Caenorhabditis elegans: one gene and its partners. The protein of the gene in region 1 purifies or fractionates together with the protein of each later gene. This does not show direct contact. Each region holds a gene or a part of one and is shown in the gene's direction. Other genes may lie near its edges. The genes, in order: ctf-18, Y104H12D.2 and F29B9.1.

Region 1 (11,468 bases):
GGTCGAGCCACTCTCATTGACAGCCGCTGAACGTGAGTCATGTCGCACTTAATAAGTGCTTACACACCTTTTCTTTCAATTCTTTCAATCCCGAATATTGCATTAAATTGATTTTATTTCAGAAGTCGGTGGAGCGTTCTGCCATCAGTTCTATATCACCGTCTCTGAGAACCGTAAAGCGATTACCAAGTTCTATGGACATGAATCGAAGTTCTATTTGGATGATCAGGTGGTCACTGGATCGCAGGTTGGCAACAAATATAAATTGACAAAAATACATTTCGTTAATATATTTTTAGGAGATTGTTAAGTTGTACAATCATCTACCAGAAACCACCCACTTCAAGATTCAATCTATCAAGGTAAACACGACGTTCTTCGATTTTCCTACAAATATATTTTTAAGGGATACCCAACCCCACACAAACAGGGAGTGATTATCAATGTTATCGGAACCGTTAACCTCCGTCCATTCCTTCAATCATTTTTGCTTGGGCAACAAGGGCAGAAAAAATACTATGTCGAATCAGACGCTTTTCAGTACATTGATAAGTTTTTCGTCGCGAATACGGAAAAGGAGAAGACTACTTCGTCGACTGGTCATAACGGACACGCCAGTGGAGCAAATGGAAAGGATTCCAAATCTTCCAAAACCGAGCAACCTAAGGAACAATCAAAGCCGGCTCCTCCAAAGCAGCAAACGCCAAAGAAAGCTGAAGATCGTATAGTGAAGCAAGACACTCCGAAATCTGTGGAAAAGGAGGTAGCGAAAACACCGCAGAAACCACAGCTTGCCCAACAGCCCCCACAGCAGAGAGCCCCAGTTCCTGAGCCTGTTCAAGAACAGCCAAAGGTTCAGAAAACGTGGGCTAATCTTGTGGGTGGAGGTGGAAAGTCTCAGCCCCCACAACAACAAAGTTATGGACAAGGACAGCGTGAGTTGAAAAAACGAAAGATGATCGGGCTAGTCTCAGATTATTTATTTTTCAGAAATCCATCAGCAAACACAAATGCACCACATGCAGCCTTCCATGCATCAGCAACAACAAGGATCGCATGCTCCTCTTTATCAGCAACAGAGACAGTCGCACCCAGCTAATGAATTGCGCCAAGCTCAGGAAAGTTCAGATGCCAACCTAAATGAGCGTAAGATCTATTTGGGAGGAATCACTCGAGAGATTGTCCCCAGCAACACAGCTCAGGCTGAATCGGAAATCAAGCAGGTGTTCTACAGTAAGCAAATTAATAGTCCCAATAGTTCACTAAATTTTCATTTTAAGAATATGGAGAAATCGAGGAGGTTCGCATGCCGCGCAAGGTTCTTGACAGTCCGAACGACACATCGAAACATGCCTTTGCATTTATTACCATGCGTAACAAGGCCGGAGTAAAAGCCATTTTCGAAGCGGCTACAAAGGATGAGCAAGGCGTGTGGAAGCTTCCACTCAAACTGGATGCATTCGGATTTGACGGACATGCTCAAATTAGTGAGCAACGTGATCAACCACAAGGCGGCGGATTCCGAGGAGGACGTGGAGGTTTCCAACCACGCGGTGGACAATTCTTCCGCCGTGGCGGTTCGGGTGGTGCTCCACGAGGTGGTATGCGCAGCGGTTTCCAAAATGCGGGACAAAATTAGAAGCTTTCCGTTCTCCTTTTTCCTTCTTGTAAGAATTGCACATCCATTAGATTCTGTACCTATCCTTCTCATTTTCCTATTTATTGTTTCTCCTTTCCTTCCTCACCGTTCTAATAATGATGATTTAAGTAAGAAGATTCTGGTATCTGAATTTTATGGCGTGTAGCGTTTTAGTAGATCTCTCAACAATCCAATCCAATCAGCCCGCATCCCATTTTCACATCCTATCTCCCCGGTTTTCGGTGATTGACGACCGTGATCCCATCTGAGTTTACTCTTTTCGAGTACAAGTTGCAATCAGACATCATCCCACCACCGAATATCCAAGTTGTATTTGAATGTTGTTTTAATATATTACCACTTTCCTTCTCCTTTTACAAGCCCCCGTTATTGTTTCCTTCATTGGTGTTCGGGAGTACTCTTTGTACTCAAGTTCTTACCCCCATTTTGGCACGTTGGAATTAAAATAAAGTTTTGTATCTAAATTATTCAAGTTTCTCAATTTGTTTTTTTTATATGTAGTGTGTCAAGTAACAGTGTATTGTACTTATTGTTGTGAGATTGTGTTTCTAACATTTCTAATGGATACAGCAAGACATGGATGATGACTACAATGTACTGCATTCTGGGTTTGCCGACGATGATGGGCAACTTGAATATCCGTAAGATCTTTATGTTGAGAAGCAGAAGTAGTTTTACATTCGCTGAATTTTAAGAGATGATGAGGATCAGCTAGCTGTAGTTCCGAATGGAGACTCTGAAAATCAAAGAATCAATGAAGTTAGGAATGCTCTCGAAGAAGTTGGATATGGTAAAAGAAAAAGACGCTTGAATGAAGTAGAAGACGTATTTGATCAATATGGAAGACGTTCACATCCAATGGGTCAGTCAAAAAGAAGGTTTTCCAATTAAATTATATATTTAGATTGGCATATGAGAATGGAAACAGTTTCCAGTGAAGTATTACAAAAGTCACAAGTAAATGCTGTTAAGAGAAGAGCCCTCGAAAGCTTGGAACAGAAAATCAACGAAGCAGCTGCTCAAGCTGAAAGAAAAATGAATGAAAATCATCATTCTAATGCTTTTGACGATTTTCAAAGCGGAGAGCAGACAATTTCTTCACTTTGTGAGCTAGAAATGGAACGGAGATATAGAAGACGACAGGTTATTACTTTTCCTTGAAAGATTATATTTTTATCATTGAATTCAGGAAATCATGCGAAATCCGGTAACTGATGGTTCACCTTGGATTGGTATCAGTGATGTCGTCAACGGGCAACGATTTTATATTCGAACTTTCCGTGATGATCGTCTTTCTGTTCCGTTAGTAGAATCGATTACCCAACAAGCAACCCGTTCGAGGGTCGGTTTTCGAGCTTTTCAGTCGATTTGTCAGGAATCCGAACGTCTTAGGTAATAGTTTCACTAGAAAATTGAATACTTTTATAGTTTTCAGCAAGTTGAAAGAAGAATCTCGCGTTAAAGAACAGGAAGCCGAGTTTTCACGCATGCTTAAAGAAACTGAAACACCGTCTGAATATGAAAATAATAAATCTCATCCAGAATCATCATTATGGGTGAACAAGTACGAAGCCAAAAATTTCTCAGATTTGCTCTCGGACAGTGTAAGGAATTACATTATTTTAAAAAAAGAAGTCACGATATTGCAGACTGTCAATCGAAATATTCTTACATGGCTGAAAATGTGGGACGAGTGTGTGTTCCATCAAAAAGTCGACGATTTACTAGCAAGCCTCGGTGAAAAAGAACGAGAAGTACTACACATGGATAATGGCAAAATTCGGCGTCCATCATCGAAAATGTTGCTTCTTTCTGGCCCGGCTGGTCTCGGTAAAAGTACACTAGCACGAATTGTCGCTCGTCAAGCAGGCTATTCAACAATTGATGTAAATGCAAGTGATGCTCGAACAGTCGCAGATTTAAATAAAGTACTAGAAGGAGCTGTAAAAACATCTCGAACACTTGATGCAGATCAACGGCCAGCATGCCTGATTCTTGATGAAATTGATGGAACACCAATTGATACTATTCGTCATTTGGTTCGGTGTATTCAAGCAACAGGCAAAAAAGCCATTCGGCGACCCATTATTGGAATTTGCAATAATTTGTAAGTTATTTTATGGCTTCAGTGACACAGAAAGAAAATATATAATAGGATATCGGGAACAGTTGCAAAAACATTTTCAACCAAAAACCAATTTTCTCCAAAAAACCGAAAAAAAAAACACTTTTGATTTTTCCATCATACCTACATTTTTGAAAGATAATCTTTTGTTTTTTAGTCCAAAAATCCATTTTTGCAAGAAACACCAACTAAAAACGACAGTCCTAATCGGGAACAAAGATGTCAGCGAAAATTTTGACGATTTTTTTCACTGAAAATCTAAAAATCGAAAAACGACAATTTTTCGAAGAAAAAAAATCAGTGAACCATAAAATTATTTTTTTTTTTTGAAATCAAATTCTGTTTTTGTTGATAAAAACACAAGAAAACATGAATAAAAATAAAATAGAATAAAAATGATCAAACTTTCAAGATATTTTTCGAAAAATCGAAAGAAATCAAAAACTAAAATTCTTGGTTTCAGATTTTGGTAAAAATCGGAACACAAACCCCCTTTATCGGGATAACTCAATGTATTCGTAAGATGTGTTTGATTTTCTAATTATTTGTTTTTAAAGGTATACGCCAGCATTGCGTGATTTACGAGGAGTCGCCTGGTGTGTGCAACTAGTCGCAACAAAACAAGATGTTTTAGCAAAACGACTGGAAGAAATTTGTGACCGAGAACGTCTTCGATGTGATTTGAGTACTTTGAGAAAGTTATGCGAATTGTGTGCAAATGATATGAGACATTCAATTAATACTCTTCAATGGGTAGCGGTGGCAGCACGAAAATCGAATCGAGCAATTGGAATGAAGTTGATCCATGAGGTATGACGCTGTATATTTTTTGATATTAATAGAAATCTGTTTTTTAGGTTATTGAGAAAGAGAAAGGCGGATCTGCTTCTATTTTCGAACATTGGTCGTCAATTCTTGAGTTATCTAAACATACAGACGCAAAGGGAGGAATCAAATCTGTACGAGAAAGAATATTTGATATCGAACGAATATCGGCAGACCATGGAGGAGAAGAACGATTTGTGTCTGGTTTACATGCAAATTATCTTGTAACTCTTCCAATTGGAGTAATACGCAAAGCGTCTACATGGTTTTTGTTCTATGATGATATTCAGAAAATCGTGAGTTTTAATTACTATTAGTATTAAACAACTATTATAAATTCTTGTTTTCAGGTACACAGTCTTCAAAACTGGTCGGTTCTAAAGTATGTTTTTTCATTCTTCGTTTCCCTCCATCTCAACATTGCGACTCATGCTCGTGTTCCGATCGCCTATCCACAGTTGGAACAAAATATTTTCCAAAAAACGAAGGAATCGGAAGAAACAATCAGCGCAGTTCGATCATGTGGACAATCGACTAGAGGTGCACCAAAAAAAGAGCTTTTGCTGGATATTTTGCCATTCATTGTCAATATTGTTCAGCCACCTATCAAACCGGTAACAATCGCTGGTTGTTCTCTTTTTTTTTAATTTTTAAATTTTCAGATGAATGAGTCATTGTATAATCAACGGGAACTTGCGACTTTCAATCAAACTGTCTCGATTATGTGTGATTATGGTTTGACATACACTGCCACAATGGTAAAAGATCAAGTTAATTGGTTATTTACTCCTTCAATTGATATTTTGACAATGTTTCCACTGGATGGACCAAAGCGGCCGTATCTTGCCAATGCGACAAGACAAATGATTGCTCATAAGGTTTGTATTTATTGTTTTAAATTAATTTTCTTTCATTGCCTGAAAGTTTTGAATTCACACTTTGTGCTTTCTTAAAATAAGGAGTAGAGTTTGTAGGTTTTCTCATCAAATAGATTAAAACCGGCCCGAGACACTCGATTTTGAAAATGAGATTTCTCAAAAAAAATTTCAACATTTTTGTGGCGTTCTGCATTTTCGAAAATTGTCGCAACAACTGGAATACAGTTTTTAAATCAAATTTTCACCCTTTAATAAAAACTGTATTTCAGCTGCTACGACAAGCTTGGGAAAATCTCAGATTTTAACAAATTCGAAATTCGAAATTCTGAAACACCATAAAATTGTTTGGGAAGTCTCAGTCTATTTGAGCAAAAAAAAAGCTCCGTGTTCTGCCCAGGCCATGGCAAATTTTATTTTCAGAATTTAATTTAATTCTTAAAAATTTTCAGATCACTCTTATGCGTGTTCGTCTGACAGAGAGTACCTCGAATACTGAACGAATTTCTACGAATGCCGATAAAATCAAAGCAATCGTTGAATCAGAAAGCAAAAAGAAGAAGAGACTATCTGCCGGAGCAATGAAAAGATTACACAATGGAAGACTAACAGATATAGTATTTAATCATCAGGATGGAGACAGTAGTGCTGTCAAAAAGAAAGTCACCATGCAACAACTCAACTCTATACTTTTTGGTGATTCTTAACCTTAATTTCAAAGTATTTGTTTGTAAAATGACACTATTTTTGCTGTATACTACTTTTTTCAGTTGTTTCAGCGCTGTATACACGTTCCTATGATCTTTTGCTCATTTTCCGATTTTATCACCCCAATGAACAATACATTCCTTTTAAGTTCAGACTAAAACATTGTTAATTTTCTGCAGAAAATAATGCGGGGTTCGAAATTGATATGAACAAAAACATGATCTCTTAATAGTTCATAGAATTCACATTTCAAAATTAAGAATGCTATAATAGCATTTCAGCTTCATCGAAAATGTCACTTGTTTTCATGGCAACTCAATTGAAATATGCAATTAAATATCTTCACCGATTCCTACTTCCACAAACTTTATTCTCAAACAAAAATATTTTGAGAATGTTTTTTCATATATTTATGTGGCTCTTTTATTTATCGGAAGTTGATTCAGACAATTGTTCATTTAATGTTCATTATATCACAAAAGAGAGCTTATTTCCAACTGAATGCTCTCAAATTATTGGAAGATTTCGTATCGATCAAAATTCTGAAATGAAAAGTGAACAATTGATCACTTTATTCAAAAATGTTCTTCAAATTCGAGGAGTTCTACAAATATGGAATACTCAATTAACTTCAGCGCCTTTCATGAAAAATATTCAGAATATAACTGGAGATCCATTGGGTAATATATTCAGAGAACACTATTATGGGGATGAAGACATAATCTTCTTCTGAAATCGTCGTGGAAATGCGCTCCATAGATAATTGAAATCGCCCCGCCCCTACAGTTCGGTCTCGTTGGGTGTAAGAACGAAAATTCAAACATTTTCAATTAGTTTTACCGATTTTTAAACATTTGTAATATTTTTTATTAGATTTTCTGTTGTTTTTATCTTTTTTAGGCGAAAATGATTTAAAAATGCCTAGAACGAAAAATACCAAAAATGCTTGAAAATTGAGAAAGGCGACATTAACGGATAACGTTTGAATTTACGCTTCTGCTTCCAAATACCTAACGAGACTCATGGTTTGGGGGCGGAGCGTCTTCAATTGCTCGTTTCCATGGCGATTTTTAAGTGAATATTGCAATTGAACACATTCAAAGTTAAATATTTTTTCAGATAAAGGATTATCTATTTTGAACAATACAAAATTAAATAATCTGAATATATCATCACTATCAAATTCAAATAACATAGTCGAAATCAAAAATAATCCAAATTTAAACTTACAAAAGATGTGTTCTATTATTCATGAAGTATTTTTCACTCGGCGTTCAATTTCCAAAAACTTATTTGATTGTGGCTGTGAAATTCATGGGAATTTCCAATGGCCCCAAGTCAAAAATTTTCCTGAAAACTGCATTGTTTTGTATGGAAATATTATAATTGATGGTAATGCTCCACCGGTTGAAGTTTTATATAGATTATCAACAGTCAACAAATTATATGGTTTTATTCAAATTAAATCAAGTAATCTAGAAACGTTGGGTTTCTTACAGAATTTGGATGAAATTGAATCAGGTATTATTTTATCACATAATCAGGCAAAGATAAAACGTTTAAAATTGGCACTGCCTAGAGTTCAACTTGACAAGATTACGGCGAATCTAGACACAATTTAGACTTGTTTACCTAAACTATTGGAGTTTAACTTTTTAGCAGGAGTCAGTTATAAAGTTCAGCACAAGATTTTAGCTATTGGCAGTGCACCACTTAGATTTTTCATACTTTGTCTGAGTAGTTTCTAGTAATTGTAGTTTATAGTATCTAACAGCATTCTACTATCAATTTTGGAATCTTAGAATGATAGTTTTGGGTTACTGTAGTGGAACTGCGGGGATTTCAAAACTATATCACAACATTAAAATAGAAAATGATGTGAGTTAATACTGTATTCACTAAAAAACAGAAGACAAACTATCGGAAACAAAACCTCTAAAACAGAAAGAGTTATTAAAAGAAAGAGTTATTAATAAAAACAGTGATTCAAAAAGTTGAATTTTTAAGGAATCGAAGCTGATTACACAATAAATATTGATAGTAACAACTATCTGAGTCGTTTGGATCTTATAAAACTGAAAACAATCAAAAGTAAGAATTCAAATTCCGATATTTCATTATTCCAAAACACGAAACTTTGCTTGGATCCGGAATTTCTTCAGACGATTGCACAATCTTCGTTAAGAAAGTTGGAAGGATATCAGAGTATGTCATTTTGTGGAATGGATAGTAAGTATGAAAAAGGGTGTTTCAATAAGTATTTTCCATTTAGAAATTAACAATCCGCTGACTTATTGCACTGGAAAATTAACCGCCGTTCCTGATCGATGTACCCGGTATATTGGAAATATTTTGTTTGAAAACTATATGACCTCCGATTATGAAGATATTACAAATTATACGAAAATATCACAAGTAGATATGAAAAGGTGCTGTTTGATTTAAACTATTTGAAACAAATTCTAGCTGCATAGCTTTAGTTCCAACAATAATTCCAAGTCTGTTTATTTCAAAAGTGGATTAACAGGGATTTTGTTTAGGTATTGTGTTTGGTTACAGTCAAACCTAAATAATAGGAAATTCCAAAAACTTTTAGATTTTTTTTAAATTTTCCAAAAAAGTACATCAAAGGTTTGCTACATTGCCAAATTTTTGCTTTTAGAGCAACACTCTTAGAGCAATAAAACATGTTCTATAGTGTCTAGGTAACAAATGATTAAATGCACTTGTCAGGTCATTTAAAAATTTTTATTTAATTTTAGAGTGCAACAATTTGAAGTTATATTTGGAACAATTTATATCCAAGGAACTACACTAAAATCGTTCACATTGCCCAACCTTCAAGAAATTTATCAAGTTGAAGGTTTGTGATCTTTTATCTTATTTCACTGAATTTTAAAATTATAGATATTGTGAATAAAGGATCAAGACAACTGGGACCTAGAACTGTTATAGAATTCAGAAGAAACGATTTTTTAAAAGATATTTCATTCCCAAATCTCAAAATTGCATATTCTCTAATCACATTCAATTTCAATGGAAATTTGACAATGGATGATGATTTTTGTAGAAAAATGTCAAATGGAGTGAAACGAGTAACAGTTGGACTTGATGTTGACTACGATTGTAGTGAGTTTAAAAAGTTTTCACTTAAGTTAAAGTACTTCTTTTACAGGACCATATTTGGTTGATGTCACTACAACAACCAACACATCTACTTGAAAAAAGTGGAGTACAGCCAGTTACGATTCTGTCAGAATGCACTTTTAATACACTTAAATTACAAAAAATTATCATAGAACAATGTGATACATTTTTGAACGTTTTCTGTCAAAATTTTGATAAATGGCCAAGTTTTCGCAAAATTTGTGATTCTTGAAAAATGTCGAGCATTTTCGCACGTTCAAACCACTGCCTAAATACAAAGAAAGTAAAAATATTTTGAGCATTGCAACCACCTGTGGCTTGTGACACTAATAACCACTGGAGGTGGTTCTATTTCAAACCATTAGTTTTATCTGTAGTTCATTTCAGCTAATGTATGTACATTTGTTTCAAAAAAATGAATGCGGAACTATTTCTAAAACACTGGCATTAACGGAGTGAAATAATTACAAGTAAAATTCTAAATCAATGATCATTTAATCAGAAGTGCCAGGCAACTCAGCAGCCGAGAGTCTTCCTCATCTCGTTCCTTGCTGCCGGCTCTTCTTCAAACGTCCAGCGACTTCCAGTGGCTTTCATCCGCGACTCCCTCCAGTGGAATGGCTTGAGACTATTCTAACTCACATTCCATTTCAGACAGAATGCAAAACTACAATATTTAAATTTAAACTACGTTTTATCTTTCGAGATGGCGGAGTTAGACCTACATTTCTATTGCGTACTTTTTGCCTTTCCTCTGGCTGCTATAAATAACTCCTTCATCTTACATGATAAATATATGATTTTAATTGAATATGTATTATAGTTTTTGAAATGTTCTACAGTTTCTTAGTTGATCACTTTTTGATATCTTTTGTTTCCCAGTAGATATGACTTGTCAAAGTTACTGTATCTATAGCTATCTGCATATTAAGGATTATATTGATTCTCATCCTGAAATACTACACGTGGAATCAAAAAGTCCCATTTTGCTTTATTCTTCGAAAAAATGCGGGAGAAGTGACGCAGACATCTCATCTGATTTCGCATGGTTAAGAGTGTGCTGATGTCACAATTTTTCTGGGAAAATATTCCCGCATTTTTCGTAGATCAAACCGCAATGAGACAGCCTGACACCACGTGATACTACTCCCGATTTCTCCCGATTTGAGGCGCTGTGATCCTTGCCAACTAAAATGCTCTAATGGATGCACATGTTTGAGTTCTCTAATAAAAATGTACCGTTGACCTCAAAGATTTTTGTGAAGGCAAGAGTCAAGAAGAAATTGAAGAAGTTCAAGAAGACGGAAAAATCGAGTTAAAAATCTACATTGGAGATTTTAGATGATATTGATCCGTTCGCTCAAAGCTTTCGACTACGCCTCAGTACAAATTCGATTATTTGATGTTTTTTAGAGATTTCGACTGACTTTGCGTTCATTTTCAACGATTATATCAAGGGAAAATTTATATATTTAAAAAGAGAAAGAATAAAATAATAAAAGAGAGAAGGAGTTCAGTGCTTTTTGAAGATGCTGGCGTTCGGGTAGATGGCTGTGATGCTCCTTGCATCGGTGAGCCCATCGATAGCTGTTTGGAATGTCTGAAATTATTATTTTTAATTATTGAATTCTCATAATACACCAACCCGATTTTCAGCTTTCGACAATGTTTTCGAAATTTCCTCAGTAATGAAACTGAGGAAGCCCACGTCCGAATTGCCGTTGGCTCTGCCAAACGACGCCTCCGAAAAATCGATAATTCCGACGACCAATCCATGCGAAGGGATGCGGATCACCTTGCCATCCAGGGTGTACTTCAGAGTTTTCGGTGATGCTGAACGCTTTACGAGCACGTTCCCTGGATGAACGTCATTGTGGTTGGTATCCAAACGTCGCTTCGCAATGACAAGAGAGAGCACAAGCTGCTTGACAATCGATAATCCTTCGACTGCGGTTGTCAGCATTGTATTGTCCAAACTGTTTGATCCCAGTTCGACCAGGAGTCCAAGGTAGTGAGTAGCTGGGCATTGTGGATCAAGTTGATTGAGCTTGTCTTGAGTTGAGGCTGGCAGGTTCGTGAGAACAAAAGAATCGAAGAATGTCAAGTAGTTTGGAGTCTCTTTCTTGAT
Region 2 (12,216 bases), 8.9 Mb from region 1:
AAGCATGCTTGCAGAAACGTTAGTTTTTGTTGTTTTTTCTTGATTTTCTTTAATTTTTTCGTTGAAAATTGCAAAAATTCTGAACTTTTGCGTCATGGTGTACGTGCACAGCGGGCACGAGACTTGACGCGCAATTTAAAAAATACAATTTTTTCGCGAAAAAAACAGATTTTTCAACCTTTTTTCGTGGTTTTTCGAATTTTTTTCTTCAAAATTCAATTTAAAACGCATAAATTTTGTTAGAAAACCTATTCTACCCTGTTTTCTCCATAATTTATCGCAGAAAATTTCCAATTTTCAGTGAAATCTCAAAAAAATTAGATTTTCTTCATATTTTATTTTAAAAGCGTGTTTCAAACCTGCTTCAAATTAATTCTTAACCTAATTTCCGCATAAATTTCCTAAATTTTCAGAGCGGCGCTCAAAAGTCATGAAGGACGACGATCGAAGCTGGAATGTGAGCCGAAATGTACGAATTTATTGGAAAATTGTCAAATTTATGGATTTTTTTACTTAAAACTTGTGAATTTCACGCTTTTCTAACAAAAATTTGAATTAATTGTAAAAATATTGTTGAATCTGACGACGGAATTGCAGAAATCCCCGCAATTTGTCGTAAGATTCAGAAATTTTCAAATTTTTAGTCGAATCGCTCAAGAAATCGCTCAAAATCGTCGTCGAAACCTGCACAACGAACCGAGCCGATGACCCAACGCGAGAAATTTGACGCAATTCTTCAAATTTCCGAGATTTCCCTGGAAAAACAGTACAAACTTACCAATAAGAAGGTCCCGCGGCGATCACAGTTCACAGATCCGGATGCGCCGAAGAAAAAGTCAAAAGGCGCCCGCCATTATCGAGATCAAAATCTGAAAACCCTATTCAAATCCTCGCTTATCAGAAAATACAGAAAACCACAGGAGTCCGACGATGATTTGGAGCCCGATGTCGCCCAGGATTCACCCGAAAACACGCCCGCGCCGCCGACGAAATCGCCAGAAAGTTCGGGATTTTCGGAAAATTTGGAGAATTTGGGCGCCAATACGCCCTCGCCGAGCCCCGATTTTGAGGAAGAGCACTTGGAAAAGAAGCCGGAAACTGGGAATTTGACGGAAAATCGACCGAAAAGGGTACGGGATGCACCTTATCTTACGGAAAAATGCAGAAAAATTTGAAATTATCTCCAAATTGGCGTCAAATTAGGTGTTTTGGCGGTTTTTTGTGCAAACACCGCGAAAATACACCGAATCTTACGACAAAATACAAAAAATAGAGATTTTCTGCAAAAGGGCGTAAAGTTTGGTGTATTGGTTGATTTTTGCGCGTTAAAAATTGGATTTCACGACGAAATGTGTTAATTTTTGAAATTTTTGCCGAAATTTCAAAAAACTCCGCATTTTTTCGTAGGATTTAGTGTGACTAGGTTACTGTAGCACCACCAAAAGTGTGCAGTGCACCAGATCTTACGACAAACTGCAGAAAATTCAATATTTTACGGAAAATCTCCTAAAACATGCAAACGTCTCATTGAAAATTCAAGTTTTCTGCGATTTGTCGTAAGATTTTATGTATTGCACACATCTGACGCTACAGTAATCCCAGAAACACCGGATTTGACGACAATTTACAGAAAACTCGAATTTTCGGGTTAATATTTCCAAAATATCCATTTTTGAACACAATTTTCACCGAAAATCCCAGTTTTCTTCAATTTGTCGTAAGATTTTATGTATTGCACACATCTGAAGCTACAGTAATCCCAGAAACACCGGATTTGACGACAATTTGCAGAAAACTCAAATTTTCGGTGAAATTTTTCCAATAAATCCAATTTTGAATCCAATTTTCACCGAAAATTTCAGTTTTCTGCAATATCTCGTAAAATAAATTGTTTTGCCAACACATTTGAAGCTACAGTAATCCGAAGAAACACCGGAGTTGACGACAATTTGCACAAATATCGTTTTTCTGCAAATTGTCGTAAAATATGTTGCTTTATTCCACCAAAAAATTCAAAATTTTCAGGTTTATAGCCACGAAACGGCCGAATCAATGGAAAACTACGCGAAACTTCTCCTCTACACTGCTTTTGATACAAAATCCTGGGAAACACTTGGCGGTCACATCAAAAACGGCTTCCGACTGAGTTTTGTGTGCTCCAACGGGCTCACAATCATCGAAAATGTCGTTGAACTCAATAAAAATCTGAATAAATTCAGTGATTCGAGAGAATCTCGAATGGTCGCTGATTTGTTTGAATTACTCCTCAAAAAGGGTGTTGAATTTGATGAAAAGTGCGTTTTTTTTTTTCGGTGAAAATCGAATATTTTCCGAGAGATTTTGCATAAAAATCACTCAAAATTGATAAAATCTACTACAAATTTGCGTTAAGTACACAGAATCAGACGACAATATGCAGATTTTATCGAAAAAATTCCGAAAAACTGTAGATTTTGAGCTAAAAGTCGCTAATTATTTCATCGAAACCGTCAAAACAAAATTCCCGCAATTTGTCGTAAGATTCGGTGTATCGACACGGTTGATTGTGCACAGAATCGGCGATACAGTAACCCAAAGTCACATTTTGGATGAAAAATCAATAATTTCACACAGAAAAATTCAAAATATAAAGTTTTTCCAAAATTTTACCAAAAAAAAGGTTCAAAACACCGAATCCAACGACAAAATGCGATAATTCCACAGAAAAAATCAATAATTTCACTTTTTTTTTTTTGAAAAATTGATAAATATACCCTGAAAACCTATAAGATTACCCAAAAATCGATAATTTCAGAGAAAAAAAAATCAAAAAGGTCAAAACACCGAATCTGACGACAAATTGCAGATTTTTGCTGAAAATCGATAATTTCATTTTTAAAAATTGATAATTTCAACTAAAAAATCGGTAATTTTACAGAAAAATCAAAAATTTAAAACAAAATCAAAAAATTTAACAAAAAAAAATCAATATTTTTCAATCAAAAATAAATTTTCTACGAAAAATCAATAATTTCCACAACAAAAAATCGATAATTTCACAGATTTTTTTGTTGGAAAAATTGATAAATTCACACTAAAAACCTCAATTTTTACCGAAAATTCAAGTTTTGTGCAATTTGTCGTAAAATACAGTGTTTTGCACACATCTGACGCTACAGTAATCCAAGAAACAGATTTGACCAGATTTGACGACAATTCGCAGAAAATTCGAATTTTCGATGAAATTTTCCTGAAAAATACAATTTTCTTTACTTTTTCACGTTTTTGAACTCAATTCTTACCGAAAATTCAAGAAATTTTTACATTTCTGCAATTTGTCGTAAGATTCTGTGTACTGCACATATATATGGTTACAGTAATCTAAGAAACACCGGATTTGACGACAACTTGCAGAAATTTCGACTTTTTTCTGCAATTTGTCGTCAGATTGTGTTTACCAACAAAAAAAATCGATAATTTCACACGAAAAAAATTATCGATTTTTTCAGGACTTTACCGCCAACAATGTGTGCCGCCGTCCGTTCCACCCGTTACGACATTCGCCGTGATTTCCGTTGCCTCCATAATCAATATATTGATAAACGTCCACGAATGTGTGAATGGTTCAGTGCCACCGGCGGCGGCGGCTCCTGCGGCACCACCGAAATTTGCACATTTTGGAACAACGACGCTGGCTACCTTCCCAATACGCACCAACGCTCGAAATTCCACGTGGATTTGAGTGAATTCACTGGGAACAATTTGGGGCTCCTCGCGTTTTCAATGGCATGGCACGAGGATTTCATCGATAATAATTCTGGGGGGCCGGAAATCGTGAAAAATGTATGCAAAATTTGTGATTTTTCTCGAAAAATGATGCAGGAAAAATCGATAATTTTGCGAGCATTTTTACGCCAAAAACTAGTGGAAAATCGTGTGAATTCCATGCAAACACCGGACTTCACACGACAAATTGCGGATTTTCTGCAATTTTGCGTCAGATTCGGTGTATTTGGGTGTTTGCACAGATTCACAGGGGCTACAGTAATCCCCAAAGTTTAAAAATAAATAATTTTTGTTTCAAAATGATTCGAAAATGTGTGAAAAATGGGGCTTTTACAACAAATTTTATATGGAAATCGCGATTTTCGTACGATTTTCAATGAAAATTTTGAATTTATCGTGAATTTTCTCTACAAATCCGGAAAACGTGATTTTTCAGCCGTGAAAGTGCGATTTTTGAGCTGCGAAAAACTGCGAAAACTCCTGGTCCTGTGCAAACACATCGGTAATACACCGAACCTTACGACAGAATGCAGAATAATCCCGTTTAAACGTAGAATTTGAATTTTTCGCGTTTTGTCGTCAAAATTTTGCGCAATTTAATACTTTTTGTAGAAAAACTCCATTTTTTACCAAAAAAAAACCGTTCAAATCCAGTTTTCCGGTTACTGTAGCCATAAATCGGTGTTTACACCAAATCTGACGACAAATTGCAGAAAAAAGTCGAAATTTCTGCAAGTTGTCGTCGAATCCGGTGTTTCTTAGATTACTGTAGCCGTATATATGTGCAGTACACAGAATCTTACGACAAATTGCAGAAATGTAAAAATTTCTTGAATTTTCGGTAAGAATTGAGTTCAAAAACGTGAAAAAGTAAAGAAAATGGCTTTTTTTTTAAAGGTAAATTTCACCGAAAATTCGAATTTTCTGCGAATTGTCGTCAAATCTGGTGTTTCTTGGATTACTGTAGCGTCAGATGTGTGCAAAACACTGTATTTTACGACAAATTGCACAAAACTTGAATTTTCAGTAAAAATTGAGTTCAAAAACGTGAAAAAATCTAGAAAATTGCTTCTTTTTTTTTTGTTGATAATTTGACCGAATATTCAGATTTTTCTGCAAATTGTCGTCAAATCTGGTGTTTTTTGGATTACTGTAGCGTCAAATTTGTGCAAACACCTTTTACTTGAATTTTAGGTGGAAATTGAGATCAAATTGCATGTTTTAGGAGATTTTCAATAAAAATTTAAATTTTCTGCAGTTTGTCGTAAGATCTGGTGCACTGCAAACTTTTGGTGCTACAGTAACCTAGTCCACACTAAATCCTACGAAAAACTGCGGAGTTACGACAAAAAATATAGAAAATTTCATTTTTTTTTAAAGGTAAATTTCACCGAAAATTCGAATTTTTTGCAAATTGCTGTCAGTTTCAGTGTATTTGCGCAAGATTTTCATCCAATTTTCATTGAAAAATGCGATTTTCGCCCTGAAAAATCTCAAAATTTTTTAATTTTTTAATTTCCAGAACCGCTTCAACGCCCACATCGATGTCCCATGCTTCACCCTTTGGATGAACGGAAAAATGTGCGAAAAACTTGAAAATTCGCATGGATTATCGATTTTTCGGCCGCTCGGCACAGTGCTCGACGTCAACGAACTGAAAATCAAGATTACTGAACATTCGTCACGTTTTGTCGCAATTTTGCCGGTTTTTAATTTGAATTCCGACTGGAAAAATTGTTTTTTTCCCCTGGAAAATCAATAATTATCGATTTTTTTCTGTTGAATTCGTATTTTCTATAATTTGCCGTCGTTTTCACTCGATTTCCCACTGATTCATAATAATTTTCTTTAAAAACCCACTGAAAAATCGATTTTTCCGCTAGGGAATTAATTATTATTGATTTTTTTTTGATAGAAAATCGATTTTTATCGATTTTTCGCTAATATTTAAAAATCAATTTATCCTAATTTCTCACTGAAACCCCCCCCCCCCCTATTGCTATCATGAATTCATGATAGTTTTCTTTAAAACCCACTGAAAATCGATTTTCCGCTAGAAATTTATCGATTTTTCGCAAATTTTTCATCACTTTTTCCCGATCTCGTTGTTTTTATCCCGATTTCATGTCAAAAAAATCAATTCCGATTACAATTCCATGACCAATTCTAAATTACAGAAAAATCGATTTTTTACGAAATTTATCGATTTTTCGCTATTTTTTCATCACTTTTTCCCGATCTCGTTGTTTTTTTTTTGAATTATTGCTAAAAATCACTTCCGATTACAATTCCATGACCAATTCCGCCCAAACTATCGATTTTTTGCTTGAAAATCGATAATTTTTCAACCGATCTCTTGTTTTCTTTTTAATTATCATTAAAAATCACTTCCTCTCACAATTCCACCACCATTTCCGCCAACAAAATCCACAAAATTATCGATTTTTCCGCCGGAAAATCGATAATTCCTGTTTTTTTTGTATTTTCCCCTATTTTCTTAATTAAATTGCTTGTAGAATTGCCTAGTATCCTAGAATTCTAATAGTAACCGCTAATATTATTGATTTTTCCAAAAAAACCCTGAAATTATCGACTTTTACCTAAAAATTGTCGTTTTTCTTCTGTTTTTATTGTGTTTTTTCGCCGAAAATTGTCGCATATTGTTAATAGAATCTCATTTTCTGCCCAACATGGCGCAATTCTTTTAATTTACCCTGACTAATGTGCTTTTTCTCACTTTCTACACCATTTTTGTGAACTTTTATCGATTTTTTTTTCTCGTGATTTTCCCCCATATATCATTGACCTACTTCACACATATGCAACTTCTGAACACTGGAATAAATTTATTAATGTTTCATTACTAAAATCTTTTGAAATTGCGAATTAAATTGATTTAAATCGGGGTTTTGCCGCACTTTCTGCGATATATTGCAATTTTTCGGTTTGAACTCCCGCGCATTTGAATTAACGACACTCCGATATCCCGCCAGCGCGTGTTGTTTATCGCGTTTTGTTTTTTGAATAAAATTGTTTATTTTTGAGCCAAAATCTTTGATTTCAACGGTTTTTTCGTGATTTTTTGTTAGAATAACTGAAAATTTAGAGATTTCAAGCAAAAAACTATGCCAGAACCAACGGAATTGTCTGGAATCATCTCAAAACTTGAGGAAACCTACGCATTCGCCACCACCAGTCTTGGAAACGTATTTATACCGATTGCAGCGGCCAGAACCAAGAACGAGACGCTTTTAAGCTTGCTCGACAAGTTTTCGTGAGTTTTTTTTGCTGGAAAAGTTACATAAATCAATTAAAAATCAAAGTTTTGGGTGAAAATTCAAGTTTTTTCGAACTTTTCCCGGAAAAAATCGATAAAGTGTTTCAGATACAACGAAACTGTGCAAATGGTGGTTATTAAACAGATAGGACGCAAAAATAACTGCAATTATCAGGCAAAACTCGTGAAAAAGCTCGAAGGCTCAATGTTGGCGGCCGCCAGAATTTCCAATGAAGTTTTCGGGCCATTGGTGGGTTTTTAGGGTTAAAAACTTGGTTTTAAGTGAAAAAATAGTCAGAAAATTGAATTTTCCATAGTTTTAAAGCTAAAAAATCTCGAAAATCCCGTATTTCCAGATCGCCCAGGTGACCAGCACCACGGATAGCTACGCGTTTGCTCAAAACGACGAAAAAGGCACAATTTTCGTGCCGGGAGACGCTTTTGACGCGAAAATCGTGAAAAATGTGGGCCGATACGTGAATACCAGCAATCAACTGGTGCTAAAAATCAAGGAGCAAATCGAACGAAAAGGGTGTAAATGGGTCGCTGTTGAGGCTGTAAAACACTTTGTTGTCGAGGAAAATGAGGAGAAAGAGGTGGAAAATCGAGAAAAATCGATAAATTTTGATCTAGAGCTCGGAAAACTGCTGAAAAAGTGAATTTAGAGCAGAAAATTGGAGTTTTGAGCCGCCGAATGTCCAATGTTCAAGTAAAAAAATGTGAATTTAGAGCTAAAAAATTTAAAAAATGGCAAATTTCGACTAAAAATATAACTTTTCTCCCGAAAAAACGAATTTTTATGACAAAGTTGAGCCATTTTGGTATTTTTGCCCAAATTTCAGCTAACAACTTAAAAATGATCTAAAATATCCAAATTTTTGTATAAAAACCTAAAAGTTCTCCAAAAAGTTCAATTTTTTGCCCAAATTTCCGCTAAAACCTGGAAAATACTCTAAAATACCCAAATTTTTGTATAAGAACCTAAAAATTGCGAAAAAATATCCAAAAAAAAAAAAAGACTTTTTGTCCAATTTTCTGTTCAAAACACGGAAAAACTATCCAAATTGCACTAATTATACAAAAATCTGTTTTTTTTGGCCAAAAAAAATTTTTTTTCGGCTAAAAACTCGGAAAATTAATTAAAAATGCCCAAATTTTTGCCTAAAAACCGAAACATTGCAAAAAATTCACAAAAAACTCAATTTTCGCCCAATTTTCGAGCTGAAAACACGAAAAATGCTCAAATTTTTCCCCCAAAATATGCCGAAAATCAATAAAAATTTCAATTTTTTTCAGGCGGTAGCAACTGGAGAAGTAAAAATTTCGTGGGGAGTCGTTGTGGAAGTTGATGAAATGGAAGCACATGTATTAGATGAAAAGAATGGAATACTTGTTACGTTAGTAATGTTAAAAACTAAAAAAAATCTTAAAAATCTTAATTTTATAACTTTCTGTAAAAAAAACGAAAAAAAAAAATCGAATTTTTAGATAAAAACTCTGTAAAATCGAGAAAAATTGACTGTTTCGGGCTTATTTTCAGACAGAAATTAGAAATATAAAAGCTAATTTCACAGAAACATAAACTTTCACTAAAAATTGGCTTTTTACAAAATTTCTTCAGTGAAAATCTGGAAATTTTACCAGAAAAATTCCGGAAAAATGTCAAAATGTTGACCATAAATCGAAATTTGTACAAATTTTCGGAGAAAATTGCATTTGATCATCAAATTTCATCAGTTTTTACATTTTTTTCAGTGAATATCATACAATTTCACCAAAATATTGGAAAAAAATCGGGAAATTCACATTTTCTATGTGGAAAATATAAGAAACCAGCCGTGGACCGCACCTACGGCGCGGCCCCCGACTTTTTGAGAAAACACATTAGATATACGGTGTCTATCGCGGACCTCGATCGATGTCTGCTGCGCACTTAGCATAAGGTTTCCCAAAATTTCGTTGCTCTGATCAGAGATCAAACTACATAAGGACAGAAGGACACGCGCTTTATATATAGTAAATGATATAGGAAAAATCCTGGAATTTTCCAGATTTTTCTGTGAAATTCTAGAATATTTTTGGTTGAAAATGTCAAAAATCCAGAAAATTTTCAGAAAATTTCCCTGTATATTGTCTGTGACTTGTGTGTTTCTCTATCCGAATTGATGGTTTGAATAGTGGTATTCTCGGCTGAAATATGCAATAAATACCGTATTCCAACCAACAATTTGTGCAATAGAGCACATTTGTCACTGGAGATGCAGAAGCTATGCCCAAATTTTCATTTAGCGCGGAAATTTGGCTGTTTTCGGGTGTAAAGTAGAAAATTTGGAAATTTCGACATTAAAATTTATTATAAAATTTGAAAAAAAATCCATAAAAATCCCTTTTTTCTGACAATTTTCTGTTAAAAATTGGTAGTTTTTTGGGTTTTTTTAAATCCCAGTTTCCGAGGAAAGCTATAAATTTGGGTACGGTAACTCGGAATTTATGATGTTTTTTTTTAAAGCTGTAAAAACTGAAAAATTCTGCTCAATTTCCAATTTTTGTTGAAAACCTAGTGGTTTCTTGGATTGTTCTAATTTTTTATCAAAATCCTGCTGAAAATTAGAATTTTTAGCTTTTCCGCTTGTTTTTCGGAATTTTTTGTGGCTTTTTCCAGGTAAAAAATCCGTTTTTTACGGAAAAAACGGCAAATTTTTGAATTTTTCGATGTTTTTCCCATGAAAATCGGAAAATTTGTATTTTTTGTTTATTTTTAAAGGAAATTCGAATTTTTTTTCGTGGCGAGACCCAACCTTTTCAGACTTTGCGCAAAGTAGGTCAAAATTATACGGCAACTTGGCAACTGAATTTCCCAATACTGTCTGTGACTTGTGTGTTTCTCTATCCGAATTGATGGTTTGAATAGTGGTATTCTCGGCTGAAATATGCAATAAATACCGTATTCCAACCAACAATTCGGTGCAATAGAGCACATTTGTCACCGGGGATGCGGAAGCTATGCCCAAATTTTCATTTTTCAGGAAAAACACCTTTTAAAAGCCAAAATTGGGCCAAATTTCATAAATTTTTGGCCAAAAAACTTAAAATTTTCACCAAAAATCGCCTTTTTTTTTGCAGATGCCCAATTCTAAAATACACTGGCGGAGCAGATGATAGTCCTTCGGCTCGAGCACTAAATGACGTCATATCAATCGATAATCACGTTATGTTCAAAGCTATGCTAATCAATGGAAGATATGACGCTGTTGAATGGAAAAAAATTGCCGATTCTCATGAACTTGTGATGCCGAAAAAAGTGAACACGTCGGATTCGTATGCACAGACTCCTGCGTGTCTTGTGGTACGGGGTTTTGAGTGGAAATTTGGGATTTTCCGCTAAAAATGAGCTGAGAAAATCGGAAATTTTAACCCTAAATTGCCTGGAAATTCGGAATTTTGCGTTAAAAAAAGTGAAAAAAAAACATTCAATTTTAGATCCAAAAAGTTTATTTTGGAAGCTCCCACTTTGGCTGAAATTTTGATATTTCTGGTTAAATTTTACCGGTTTTATGCAGAATTTTTTATAATTTTCCACTTTAATTGGCATTTTAGAGCCTTAATTTTTACTAAAAATGCGCTAAAAATTTGATATTTTACTAACTTTTGTTAGAAATGTGAATATTTTATTAAAAAGGTTGATTTTTATGTAAATTAAATTATTTTGTCAACAAAAATTAGATAAAAATTCGGAAAACCCATTTTCCATACCGTTTTCAGATATTTCTGGCCTCCTTTGCAAAAAAATGAAAAATTGGAAATTTTCAGGAATTAAAAAAAATTCAAAATTTTTCAAATATCTAAACAAATTAGGATACTTTGACCGATTTTGCTACGCTTAGAAAAAGTTTTAGTCCATTTTCTAAATTTAAATCAATTTTCTGACGACATTTTTCAAAAAATTTGAAAAATTTCACACATTTTGACTAGTTTTTTTTCCAAAAATGTAAATTTTTTTTAAACTTTAAAAAAGTTTTTTAAATTAAAAAGCTGTAAAAACCGAAAAATTCTACCTAATTTCCAATTTTTTGTTGAAAACCTAGGATTAGCTTGGATTTTGCTAATTTTTCTCAAAATTGTGTTGAAAATCTGAATTTCTAAGCTTATCCGTTTTTTTTTCTAACATTTTCGGCGTTTTTCATCCCAGTTACCGAGGAATGCTATAAATTTTGAGTACGGCAACTCGGCAACTGAACTGAATTTCCCTGTATATTGTCTGTGACTTGTGTGTTTCTCTATCCGAATTGATGGTTTGAATAGTGGTATTCTCGGCTGAAACATGCAATAAATACCGTATTCCAACCAACAATTTGTGCAATAGAGCACATTTGTCACTGGAGATGCGGAAGCTATGCCCAAATTTTCAATTTTTCACGTGAAAACTTTGTCAAAATCACTAAATTTTCGCCTAAAAACCTGAAATATTCAGACAATCATGTTCCGAAAACTGCTCCAAAATCATCCAGAAGATATGGATCGATACTCATCAATATTGGATCAATTGCCACCGTCAGCACTTCCAGATTGCTATTTTTCCCGTGAAAATTGCACGGAATAATGGGATTTTTTTTTTGGTTTTTTTTTCGGTTTTATTCTCGAAAACGTGTTTGTCAATACTAATTATTGGGTTTTTTTTTCACAATTTTGCACTTATTTTCCGCACAAAATCGGTTAAAATTCCGGCTTTTTTTTACCTATTTTCACCCATTTTTTACCCCAAAAAACCGGAAAATCCATAGAAAATGTGCGATCGAGACGATTGTGCAAGTATCGCGAGCCGCTGCACCGGAGAAACTATCATTTGTGCATTTGTGGAATCAATCACACCGCCCAAGATTCGAGATAAGACGGGTAGGTTTTTTTTTTGCGGAAAAACTGCAAAATCCACTTAATTATCGATTTTTGGTGCGGAAAACGCCGAAAAATTGTCATTTTTGGGTTACTGTAGCCCCAAACATCACACCAATGCATCGGATCTTACGACAAAATGCAGAAAAAATTCGATTATTACGTAGAACCGCGTTTTTCCGCATTTTGTCGTAAAATCCGGTGCATTGATGCGGTTTTTGCACGGATTTAGGGATACGGTAACCACAAATTCGATTTTTCATTAAAAAATGACATAGTGCTAA
Region 3 (9,304 bases), 5.5 Mb from region 1:
TGTGAGAATACGGAAGGTGAGAAAGACGGAGACACTGCGAAGCGAGTGAACGGTGAATGCGAGACACCAAAACCCGGAAGTGGACAGGCAGAAATTGATTTTCTCGTTAAAAATTTTTTGTATTCAGAATTGCAATCAATTCAACTAATCAATATTGATATTTTCATCTTAAAGTTTATCTACTAATTAGTATTTAATCCCACAAACTCGTAAATTTCATCGCGACTCACGTTCCCCCGTTTCGCAGTGTCTCTTGTTTCGCATGCTGCGTCTCGTTTCTCTTCTTCTTCACATCTCCTCGAGGCTTACAGTTTTTTCAGCATATATTTCAGTTTTCCATCATTTTTCTGGAGTTTTTTATTGAAAAATGTTGTAACAGAAATAAATTTAAACATTTCGAAGCTATTTTCATGTTATTTTGTCCGTTGTTTCCCTTTCAATCGACTATTCGTTGAAGTTTTCGAGTTTTCCGTTAAAAATCGTTGTTTTCCAGAATCTACACATTCCAAATGGATGGTAATGATATAAATATACAAAAAAACGAGTTTTCTCGAGACCAATCAGCACTTCTAATGATGGATCAGCATTCCGACCATAAGAATCACGAATCGGCAATCGGCGAGCCAGGAATGTCATACACAGCCTCTCAACCGGCTCTTTCCTCTACTGAGCATCAAACGCCATTAGTTTCTGTACGATTTTTTATTTTTCTGCGATTATTCAATGATATTGATTACAGGAAGCAAGCGTCGCAGCTCCTCAAAATCATTTGAATGGCAATTCCCATGAATCGGTTTCCGAAATGGATAGAGTAAGTGTTTTATTCATTTAAAATTTTAAAAAAAGTCTCATCTCAGAATTCGGTTGATTTTGCGATAGAATCAGTGCTCATGAAAGTGAGTGTAACCTCCGATTTCACTGAACTTCCTCCATTTCTCAACGTAATTTTCCAGGCGAGAGCTTACAACAAGATGGGCGCTCCAAAAGATCCGAGGAGAAAGCAGCACAATCCGAAGAGCGAGCCTAAAATCGAGCCACATGTGACAGATTCATCGGATAATCAGGCTGCAATGAGCAACAAGATGGAAGCGGAAGCGCCGAAGATGGAGTCAAATCAGAACTACGTCAGCAACGGATCTGAGGTATGGTTTATTCTGAAATGTGGAAGATTATTTTCATTCAAAAAAAATTTATTTATAAATTTATAAATTTTTGAAAAAATTCAAATTTCCCGTGGCAATATCATACTGAACTTTTAAATGAAGAAAAAAAATTAATTGATAAATATCATCAAATTTTATTCCAGCCTCCATTCCGTTTCGTTTCAATTTCGAATTTCGACGAAATGAAAACAAAAAAGAAAGAAGTTCAAGAAGAATTGAAGCTTGAGGTGGACTCGGACAGTGAAGAAGATGATGTCCCAGAGCAGAAAACTCCAAAGGAATCGGATCGATGTGGAGGATGCGGAAAATTTACTCATGAAGATGATCTAATTGCTCTTGAAGAGGAAAAGAAGAAGGAAAAGGAAAAGCCACTGATGAGCAAGAAGAAATCTCACCATCACAAGAAAAATGACTTCCAATGGATTGGCTGTGACTCTTGCCAAACCTGGTACCATTTTCTGTGCTCAGGCCTCGAGCAATTTGAGTATTACCTGTATGAGAAATTTTTCTGCCCCAAATGCGTTCCACATACCGGACATAGCATTCGTAAGTTTTTTCATCGAATAGCTTGCAATTAAATATATTTATTTATTATTTTAGGATACAAAGTCGTCGCCCCACATCGTTATCGCTGGTACAGTCCGAACGAGAAGCATCTCGGAATTGAAGTTGGCTCAAAAACTTGGATTGAGGATTTCATCACCAGAGAAAATACTGTTCCCTCACCGTAAGGGAATTTTCATTAAAAGATGACTTGGTTGTTATTTGTGAAGACTCGAAATACGCCAAAATGAACGAAGACTTCACAAAAATTTCAAGAAAAAGAGTTAATCTCAGCTGAAAACTCCCATTTTTGCCGTTTTCTCACATTTTTCGTTTATTTGGTACATTCTGAGCTGTCAGTTTACTAAAATTGGCCTTTTTTGATTACCTATTGGCTTCAAATGTACATAAATCAACGAAAAAACTTGAATTTATCACCTATAATAATGTTTTTCGTTCATTCCGGCACATTTTGAGTCTAAACAAGCAAAAAACCCAGACCTCCCTTAAAGATTATTTAAAATTAAATTTGTATTCTTTAGAACCGACGATGAGGTTTGCATTGTCGAAGATGGCTACGAATTCCGCAGAGAATTCGAAAAACTCGGAGGAGCTGACAACTGGGGAAAAGTTTTTATGGTCAAAGACATGGACGGCCTCAATATGACAATGCCGAAGCCTGGATTCGATTTGGAGGATGTTGTGAAAATTATGGGATCGGATTATGAAGTGGACACGATCGATGTCTATAATCAGAGCACCTATTCGATGAAGCTTGATACGTTCAGAAAACTTTTTCGCGACACTAAAAACAGACCACTCTTGTACAATTTTCTGTCCCTTGAATTCTCGGACAATAATGAGTGAGTTTATTAACTGAAAACAATTGAAAAATTAATTAATTAACATTTCCAGGATGAAAGAAATCGCTAAGCCGCCAAGATTTGTCCAGGAAATCTCAATGGTCAACCGCCTGTGGCCTGATGTCAGTGGAGCGGAGTACATTAAACTCCTCCAGAGAGAAGAATATCTTCCAGAAGATCAGCGACCAAAAGTGGAACAGTTTTGTCTCGCAGGAATGGCTGGATCTTATACGGATTTCCACGTGGACTTTGGTGGTAGTAGCGTCTACTATCACATTTTGAAGGTATAATTATTGAAGGAATATAAATGGTTCCGCGGATTGTGAACGTTCTGACCCCGCCAAAATGTTCTCAAATTAACGAATTTCGTTTGAAACTTCTGAAAAAATTCTCAATATTTTTTTGGTTTTTTTGGAGGTTCAAAATTAAAAAAAAAAGACTAAATTTGGCTAAAATCTCCTATTTTCCGAGATTTTAAAAGCATTTTTGAGAAGCCTCATCACGAAATTCGTTGATTTGAGCACATTTAGGATCGTAATGTTCGAAATACCCTTCTTTCAACTGAAATTGGTTTTCTCAAAGCTTATTAACTCTATTTTCAGGGCGAGAAAATCTTCTACATCGCCGCGCCAACGGAGCAGAACTTTGCAGCTTATCAAGCACACGAGACATCTCCGGACACCACTACATGGTTCGGTGACATTGCCAACGGAGCTGTTAAGCGAGTTGTGATCAAGGAAGGTCAGACACTGCTCATCCCGGCTGGTTGGATTCACGCGGTTCTCACTCCAGTCGATTCGCTCGTTTTTGGAGGAAACTTCTTGCATTTGGGAAATCTTGAGATGCAAATGCGCGTGTACCATCTCGAAAACGCGATTCGTAAGGAAATTAGAAGCGAGGAGAAGTTCTACTTTCCGAATTTCGAACTTCTTCATTGGATGTACATGCGAAACGTCTTGCTTGAGAAGATTACAGGTAAGCAATTTACTAGTTTGTATAGCGGTTTTACTAATATTCGCTACATTTCAGAAGCCAATCAGGAAGGTTCTGACATGCGTGAGCAGGAGAAGAATATTTGGACGGCGTCACAAATCATGAAGGCCGAAATGGAGCGCTGGATGGATCGAGAGTTGAGATTGGGTCCCGAGAAGAACGCGATCCTGCCCACTGACGACAAGAATAAGATTATGATCTCGGTGAGGAAGCAGATTGAGATTCAGACGAAGATTCAGAATGCCAAGAATAAGCCGATGGGGTTGAAGCAGAAACGTAAAAGTCGAGAATCCGCGGAGCGGGATGATGAGGACTATTGCCCGTCCAGCTCGACTGCCTACAAGAAGAAGTATACGAAAAAGGCTAAGAAGGACAATGATGATGCTCCGAAGGTGAAGAAGGCGAAGAAAGAGGAAGTTCCCGAGGAGAAGGTTCCGGTTCCTGAAGCAGCAGGTCCTTCCGAAGTTACAGCTCCATTGACCATCAAGATTGGAATGGGACCGACTGAAGATCAGAAGGGCGTTGTCCAGATATTCAATAATCAATGCACGTCGTCTGGAAGAAAAGTAAAGTTGAATCAGAACGTGGCCGACTATTGTGGATCCCATCTCGAAGCACGCGTCGAAGAGATTCCGGAAAAGGCGACGAAAAGCTTCCGCGAGCTTGACAACGAACTGGAGCGCTGTGAAGCTGTTCATTCCGGAGAGAAAATCAAGAAGGTTAAAGAGCCAAAGCCACCGAAGCAACCAAAAGAGAAAAAGGAGAAACCACCACGTAAGAAAAGATCGAAACCTTGAGAACTGTTTAATAATTTTTTTTTTCAGCAAAGAAAAAGGAAATGAGTTCCAGAGATCGCCTCATGAAGAAGCTCAAAATGTGAACGTCCTCTACCTCAAGATATGTGTGCACTTTGACGAAATATAAATCTCGTACAATTATAAAGTGCCCCCCGATCTTAATAGTAATTTCCCCGTATTTTTGACTAATTTTTACATTCGTTTTATTGTTTTATTCACACAATCCCATATTCTTTCACGCGGTTCTTTTGCATCCAAAAATTTGTACAAGACGATCTCCCGAATTTACTGACGGGGATTTTTTTGTAGTTTGAAAATACACACGCACAATAAAGCGTTGATTATGTTAATTTTTTTCCTTGATGTGAACATTGTTGAAAGTGAAATGCAAGAAAATATCTGCTTTTTAGACTTTAAACTTGGATTTCCTAGAAGAGATCTCTCTAGAGAGTGAACAGAGAATTAGAGAAACGAGGCAAATGCAAATGCAAAAAAAGCTCTATGGAACTACTTTTTTCAGATTTTGGAATTTATTATTTATTTTCGGGTTTTAAAATAGCTTGAAATGAGCGACATGAGCGAACAAAGTGTTGAAATTGCTTCTTCACAACTTGGAACCAAGGATTTGTAAGTAAAAATTCTAAAAATTTACATCTAGAGTTGGCTAAAACATTTTTATTTCAGCTGGGATCAACGATACGAGTTGGAACTTAAAAATTTCAAGCAACACGGAGATGAGGGAGAGGTGTGGTTCGGAACATCGTCTGAAACACGAATCGTAAAATATTTAATCGATTCGAAAACCGGCAAAGATGCAAAGATTCTTGATTTGGGATGTGGAAATGGATCGGTTTTGAGGAAATTGGTATGGATTTCGAGCTCAAAACCTCTGAAATTCAGTTTTTTTTCAGAGATCGAAAGGATTCCAGAGTCTGAAAGGTGTTGATTATTGTCAAAAAGCTGTTGATCTTTCTGCAGCCGCTTCGAAAGCTGAGCGAGAAGAGGAAGAAGACGAAGAATTAGTAGATATTGAATTTGAGGTGTAAATTTTTGAATTTTGCATCATTAAAAACGGAGAAGAGGTGTTTATTCATCTAAAACATAAATTTTTGCATAAATAACGAAAAAATAGCTAATTATTTTGAATTTCCGCGCAAATAAATTACCTAGTTCCGACATTTTCGCGTTTTCCGACTAATTTGATTGGTTTCTTTTGTAAAAACACCGTTTATCAATTTTCAGACATTTTCCCGGGAAGAAGGCCTGAAAAGCGCTAAGTTTACTTTAATTTATAATTTTTTTGCGGAAAACTTTCTAAAAATTGACAAGGGGTGTTTCAAAAGTTTAAGGAAAATATAAGAAAATCGAAGAAAACGCGAAATGTCGAAACTAGGTTATTAATTTGCTCGGGAATTTAAAATTAATTCACCAATTTGAATTTTTTCTGCAAACCGCCTTTAAATATTGTTTTTCTCGAAATTTCAAAGCAAAAACGTTTTCTTTCAGCAATTGGACATAACCACACCGCCAGCCGACTTTTTCTCCTCGAAATTCGATGTAATTCTCGATAAAGGCACATGGGACGCGATGAGCCTATCCGATGAACGAGAAGCTCGTCTGAAAGCCTACTTGGGTTTTCTTGATAATGGTCTGAGCGCTGGCGGTCGATTTGTGATATTCTCGTGTAATTTCACTTTGTAAGTAGGCCTAAAAAGGGCCTCGAAATGAAACTTCTAAATAGGTCACTCCAAAAAATTGAGCGGCATACGAGCACTTTGAAACTGAGAAAAGTTGATCTGAAACAGCTTCCAGACCATTTTTTTCCATTAAAAAGTTTATCAAAAATTTGCATTGTTTTTTGACCAAAAATTTTTTGACCAAAGTTTTCAGTTAAAAATTGTATTTTTTCAATTAGGGAGATTTAAAAAAGAAAATCAATTTAGATATTTCCAACAATTTTCCAAGGTTTCAGAAAAAATCGGAATTTTTTTTGACTGAACCAAATTTTTTGATTAAAAAAAGTCAGGATTTTTGAATTTTTTAAAAATCGTCTCAAATTGTTCATTAGATTCAAAAAAAATATTGAAAAAATGAGCTGAACCGAGTTCAGATCGATTTTTTCTAGTTCAAAGTTCTCGTATGCACCTAAATTTTTTGAAGTTACTCTTTCAAATGACATATGCAAGTTCAAATACTTCCATTGTAAGTCGAAATCAATTGTTTTCCTTTTCAGCGACGAGATGTGCTCGCAATTCGGTGGCGGCGGCGGCTCAACAAGTCTAGAGATCGTGTGTGAAGTACCAGCAAGTCACAGCTTCTCGTTTGGCGGAAAACAAGGTGTCACTTCAACGGGTGCCGTCTTCCGGAAGAAGACTCTATAAACACCTCTCCTCTGTGTTATTGTTGTTGTTCATTTCTTTTCCCCCTTCCCCCCCCCCCCCCACATTTCTCCCATCGTTTCTCAGTTTCTCAGTTGTTATATAAAAAAAAAGTAGGTTTCTCTTATCTCTCTCCCACTGTGTTCTCTCTTTAGCTAATCAGGTGCATCATCATCATCATTTTAACGCCAGTGTTGCTCGGCATGATGGATCTTGGAGAAAGTGGCAGCAGACCCTTCTCCTCCTAGACTACTTTTCGCGGAAAATGGGAGTTTGATAGGGCGGCGCCTTCTTAGACGCGGGGAGCTCCTTCGTCTCCAGGGACTCCTTTTGAAGGAAGGAGATGGGGTGCTTGTGACCCGAAGATGGGGGCTCACTTTCGGCTCCGAGCACAAGTAGCAGCAACAGCAGCAGCTGCAGAGATTCCACGTTGTGAAAGAGCTTCTCTTTTCGACCTTTCGTCGCCTCATTAATCATTCATTCAATCTTTTTTACATGTTCGTTTTCTACCTCTTGCTCCCCTCCCGTACGCACACTTTTCACACATTTCTTTAATCCATCTGAACATGCATATTTCTCTTGTTTTCTTTTTGTTTTCTGGGTGACTTCTTGGTGGTTTTTTATTAGTCTGTATAGGCAGAGTGCCAAAGACAATTGACGACGACACACACACAAGTATAGTCGTTTTTTGGTGAAAGAAGGAAGGACGAAAATGTTATGCAAAAAAGTTGACTTCCGGAAGTTTTTCTGCAACTTTTCTTTTCAAAAACGTTCTGAGATTCAACTATGTATGCGCCTTTAAGCTAGGGGTACTGTAGTTTAAAAAATTTGAGCTTTTCGAGATTGTTTTTGATGATTTTTATTTTTAATGCTACATAGTTTTCTATTAAAAAAATAATTTTCCAGGTGAATTTTGCAATTTTTGATACGACGACAGATTTTTGATAAAGGTGTGCGCCTTTAATGAGTACAGTAACCTCCACTCCTTTTTTTTGTAATTTTCTATAAATATTATTCTATTATTTTAAATTTGTTTTTCAAAAAATAAAGCTTTTAGACACTACTGTAGTTCTTAAAGGCGCACACCCTTTTTCATTAAAATTTTTTTGAATGGTCTCACCGCGAAAAAGTTTTCGAATCTTTCCTTTTCTTTTGAAAAATAATAATTAAAAACTGAAAATCTTCACAAAAATCAAGAAAAAGTAGAAAAATGAAGATATTCGTCTACGAAATCCCGAAAAAAGGATATATAACTTTTTTTCACGGTGAGACCCATTCGAGAAAATCCGAGCAACATTTAAACACGCATTTCAGAATATTGTGAGCATAATAATTTTAAAATCTTTTGTTTTATTCCCCATGTTTCGATTTTTGCGCAAAAAATACGGTACCGGTCTCGACAAGAAAATTATTATTAAACTCGAAAAGATGTGCGCCTTTAAAAAATTCTGTAAATTCAGATTTTTATTGTTGCGGAATTTTTACTGGGTACCAATTGGATCTTCACAGTTTTTTTTTCAATCAAAATACTTAAGCAAAGCAAGCAAATACACATCGTAAAAAAAAACTATGAAAAATTGACAAAAAATTCCGCAGCCAGCACAATTTGAAATTACAGTACCCCTTTAATTCGCGCATTTTTAAAGAATCACCAAAAATTGGTCGTATCGAGACCAGGTACCGTATTTTTGGAAAAAAAATCACAAACTCACGGCTGACTAATAAAAAATAGCTTTCGATGTAGAATCATCAGTGCATTAAATTACGAGAAAAACCTTTCTACAGTACTCTAGTTGATTTATTTTTAGGAAATCAGAAGAAAAAATAATGCAATTTAAAGTTGGAAAGTGCAAAAATTTCAGTGTCAAAACTAACCGAATCAAAAATGACCTTTTCGTGCCAAGACCAGAACTTTCCAAAATACCAATAATTGAATAAAACGTTTAGTTTCCTCGTGCCACCCCGGCGGGCGGGTGTCACTAATTGTCAGTGGCCTGGTGTGACATCAAAAAGTTTGATTTCATTGTGGCCGTCGTGGGGTCCTCCCATTTCTCTTCCTCTCTTTGCCAACACCACAAACGGCGTTTTTTTTCATTTTCTGCGACCGCTTCTTCCTTTTTTTTATCCCACCGAACGTTATTTTTTTTTGCATAACTTCTTCCAGTTTTTTTAGTAGTATGAAGACAAATTGTTGTGTCTTCTTGTCCCCCCATCCTTCCCGCCGAAAAACATAATAAAATAATTCAATTACCGTCTAGCCGCCGCTTCTTGTCTTATTTTGAAGAAAATGAGCCCAGTTTTACAGAATGAAGCCTCATTTATGTGATCAACCAATGAATCTTACTCGGCGAGCATGCTGTCAACTTGTACTATTTTTGAATGATACTGAACGGGTGAGTATATTATAATTGGTATTTGTAAAACGATTTTTAAGTAATAGAATGTAATAGAAAAACTGATTCTTACATTTTTTTTTTCATTTTTGAAGGAAAAACGTTTTAGATAGGCACAAAAATGCATATTTGCTCAAAAATACGGTACCTAGGGTCTCGACGCGACACATTTTA

The links.
Region 2: the proteins of ctf-18 (region 1) and Y104H12D.2 fractionate together in Caenorhabditis elegans (co-fractionation; one large-scale study listed by BioGRID). This does not show direct contact.
Region 3: the proteins of ctf-18 (region 1) and F29B9.1 fractionate together in Caenorhabditis elegans (co-fractionation; one large-scale study listed by BioGRID). This does not show direct contact.

Annotation. Positions count from the first base shown.
Region 1 is NC_003282.8:10,117,407-10,128,874, reverse strand, and holds ctf-18 (AAA+ ATPase domain-containing protein), read left to right. Parts: upstream 1-2,230; 5' UTR 2,231-2,236; coding exon 2,237-2,301; intron 2,302-2,355; coding exon 2,356-2,522; intron 2,523-2,564; coding exon 2,565-2,803; intron 2,804-2,849; coding exon 2,850-3,052; intron 3,053-3,095; coding exon 3,096-3,264; intron 3,265-3,309; coding exon 3,310-3,767; intron 3,768-4,342; coding exon 4,343-4,595; intron 4,596-4,642; coding exon 4,643-4,906; intron 4,907-4,960; coding exon 4,961-5,224; intron 5,225-5,272; coding exon 5,273-5,488; intron 5,489-5,937; coding exon 5,938-6,192; 3' UTR 6,193-6,338; downstream 6,339-11,468. Other genes in the region: Ras GTPase-activating protein-binding protein gtbp-1, read left to right, coding at 1-32, 123-247, 300-362, 407-935, 991-1,233, 1,281-1,639; irld-21 (Receptor L-domain domain-containing protein), read left to right, coding at 6,588-6,873, 7,313-7,714, 8,201-8,422, 8,466-8,622, 8,956-9,056, 9,101-9,322, 9,369-9,415; C04G2.10 (Protein kinase domain-containing protein), read right to left, coding at 10,854-10,940, 10,986-11,468.
Region 2 is NC_003282.8:1,171,149-1,183,364, forward strand, and holds Y104H12D.2 (DUF7930 domain-containing protein), read left to right. Parts: upstream 1-6,873; 5' UTR 6,874-6,890; coding exon 6,891-7,039; intron 7,040-7,150; coding exon 7,151-7,292; intron 7,293-7,398; coding exon 7,399-7,638; intron 7,639-8,338; coding exon 8,339-8,439; intron 8,440-10,165; coding exon 10,166-10,388; intron 10,389-11,443; exon of another isoform or gene 11,444-11,513; coding exon 11,514-11,642; 3' UTR 11,643-11,716; downstream 11,717-12,216. Other genes in the region: cec-2 (Chromo domain-containing protein), read left to right, coding at 1-18, 414-469, 645-1,130, 2,026-2,294, 3,489-3,822, 5,288-5,527; rmif-2 (RecQ-mediated genome instability protein 2 homolog), read left to right, coding at 11,827-11,935.
Region 3 is NC_003282.8:4,660,500-4,669,803, forward strand, and holds F29B9.1 (Protein-lysine N-methyltransferase CELE_F29B9.1), read left to right. Parts: upstream 1-4,879; 5' UTR 4,880-4,924; coding exon 4,925-4,986; intron 4,987-5,043; coding exon 5,044-5,224; intron 5,225-5,270; coding exon 5,271-5,399; intron 5,400-5,865; coding exon 5,866-6,056; intron 6,057-6,592; coding exon 6,593-6,740; 3' UTR 6,741-6,792; downstream 6,793-9,304. Other genes in the region: jmjd-1.2 (JmjC domain-containing protein), read left to right, coding at 510-692, 740-811, 858-1,142, 1,307-1,709, 1,764-1,890, 2,249-2,569, 2,622-2,853, 3,172-3,544 and 2 more; F29B9.12 (uncharacterized protein), read left to right, coding at 9,044-9,130.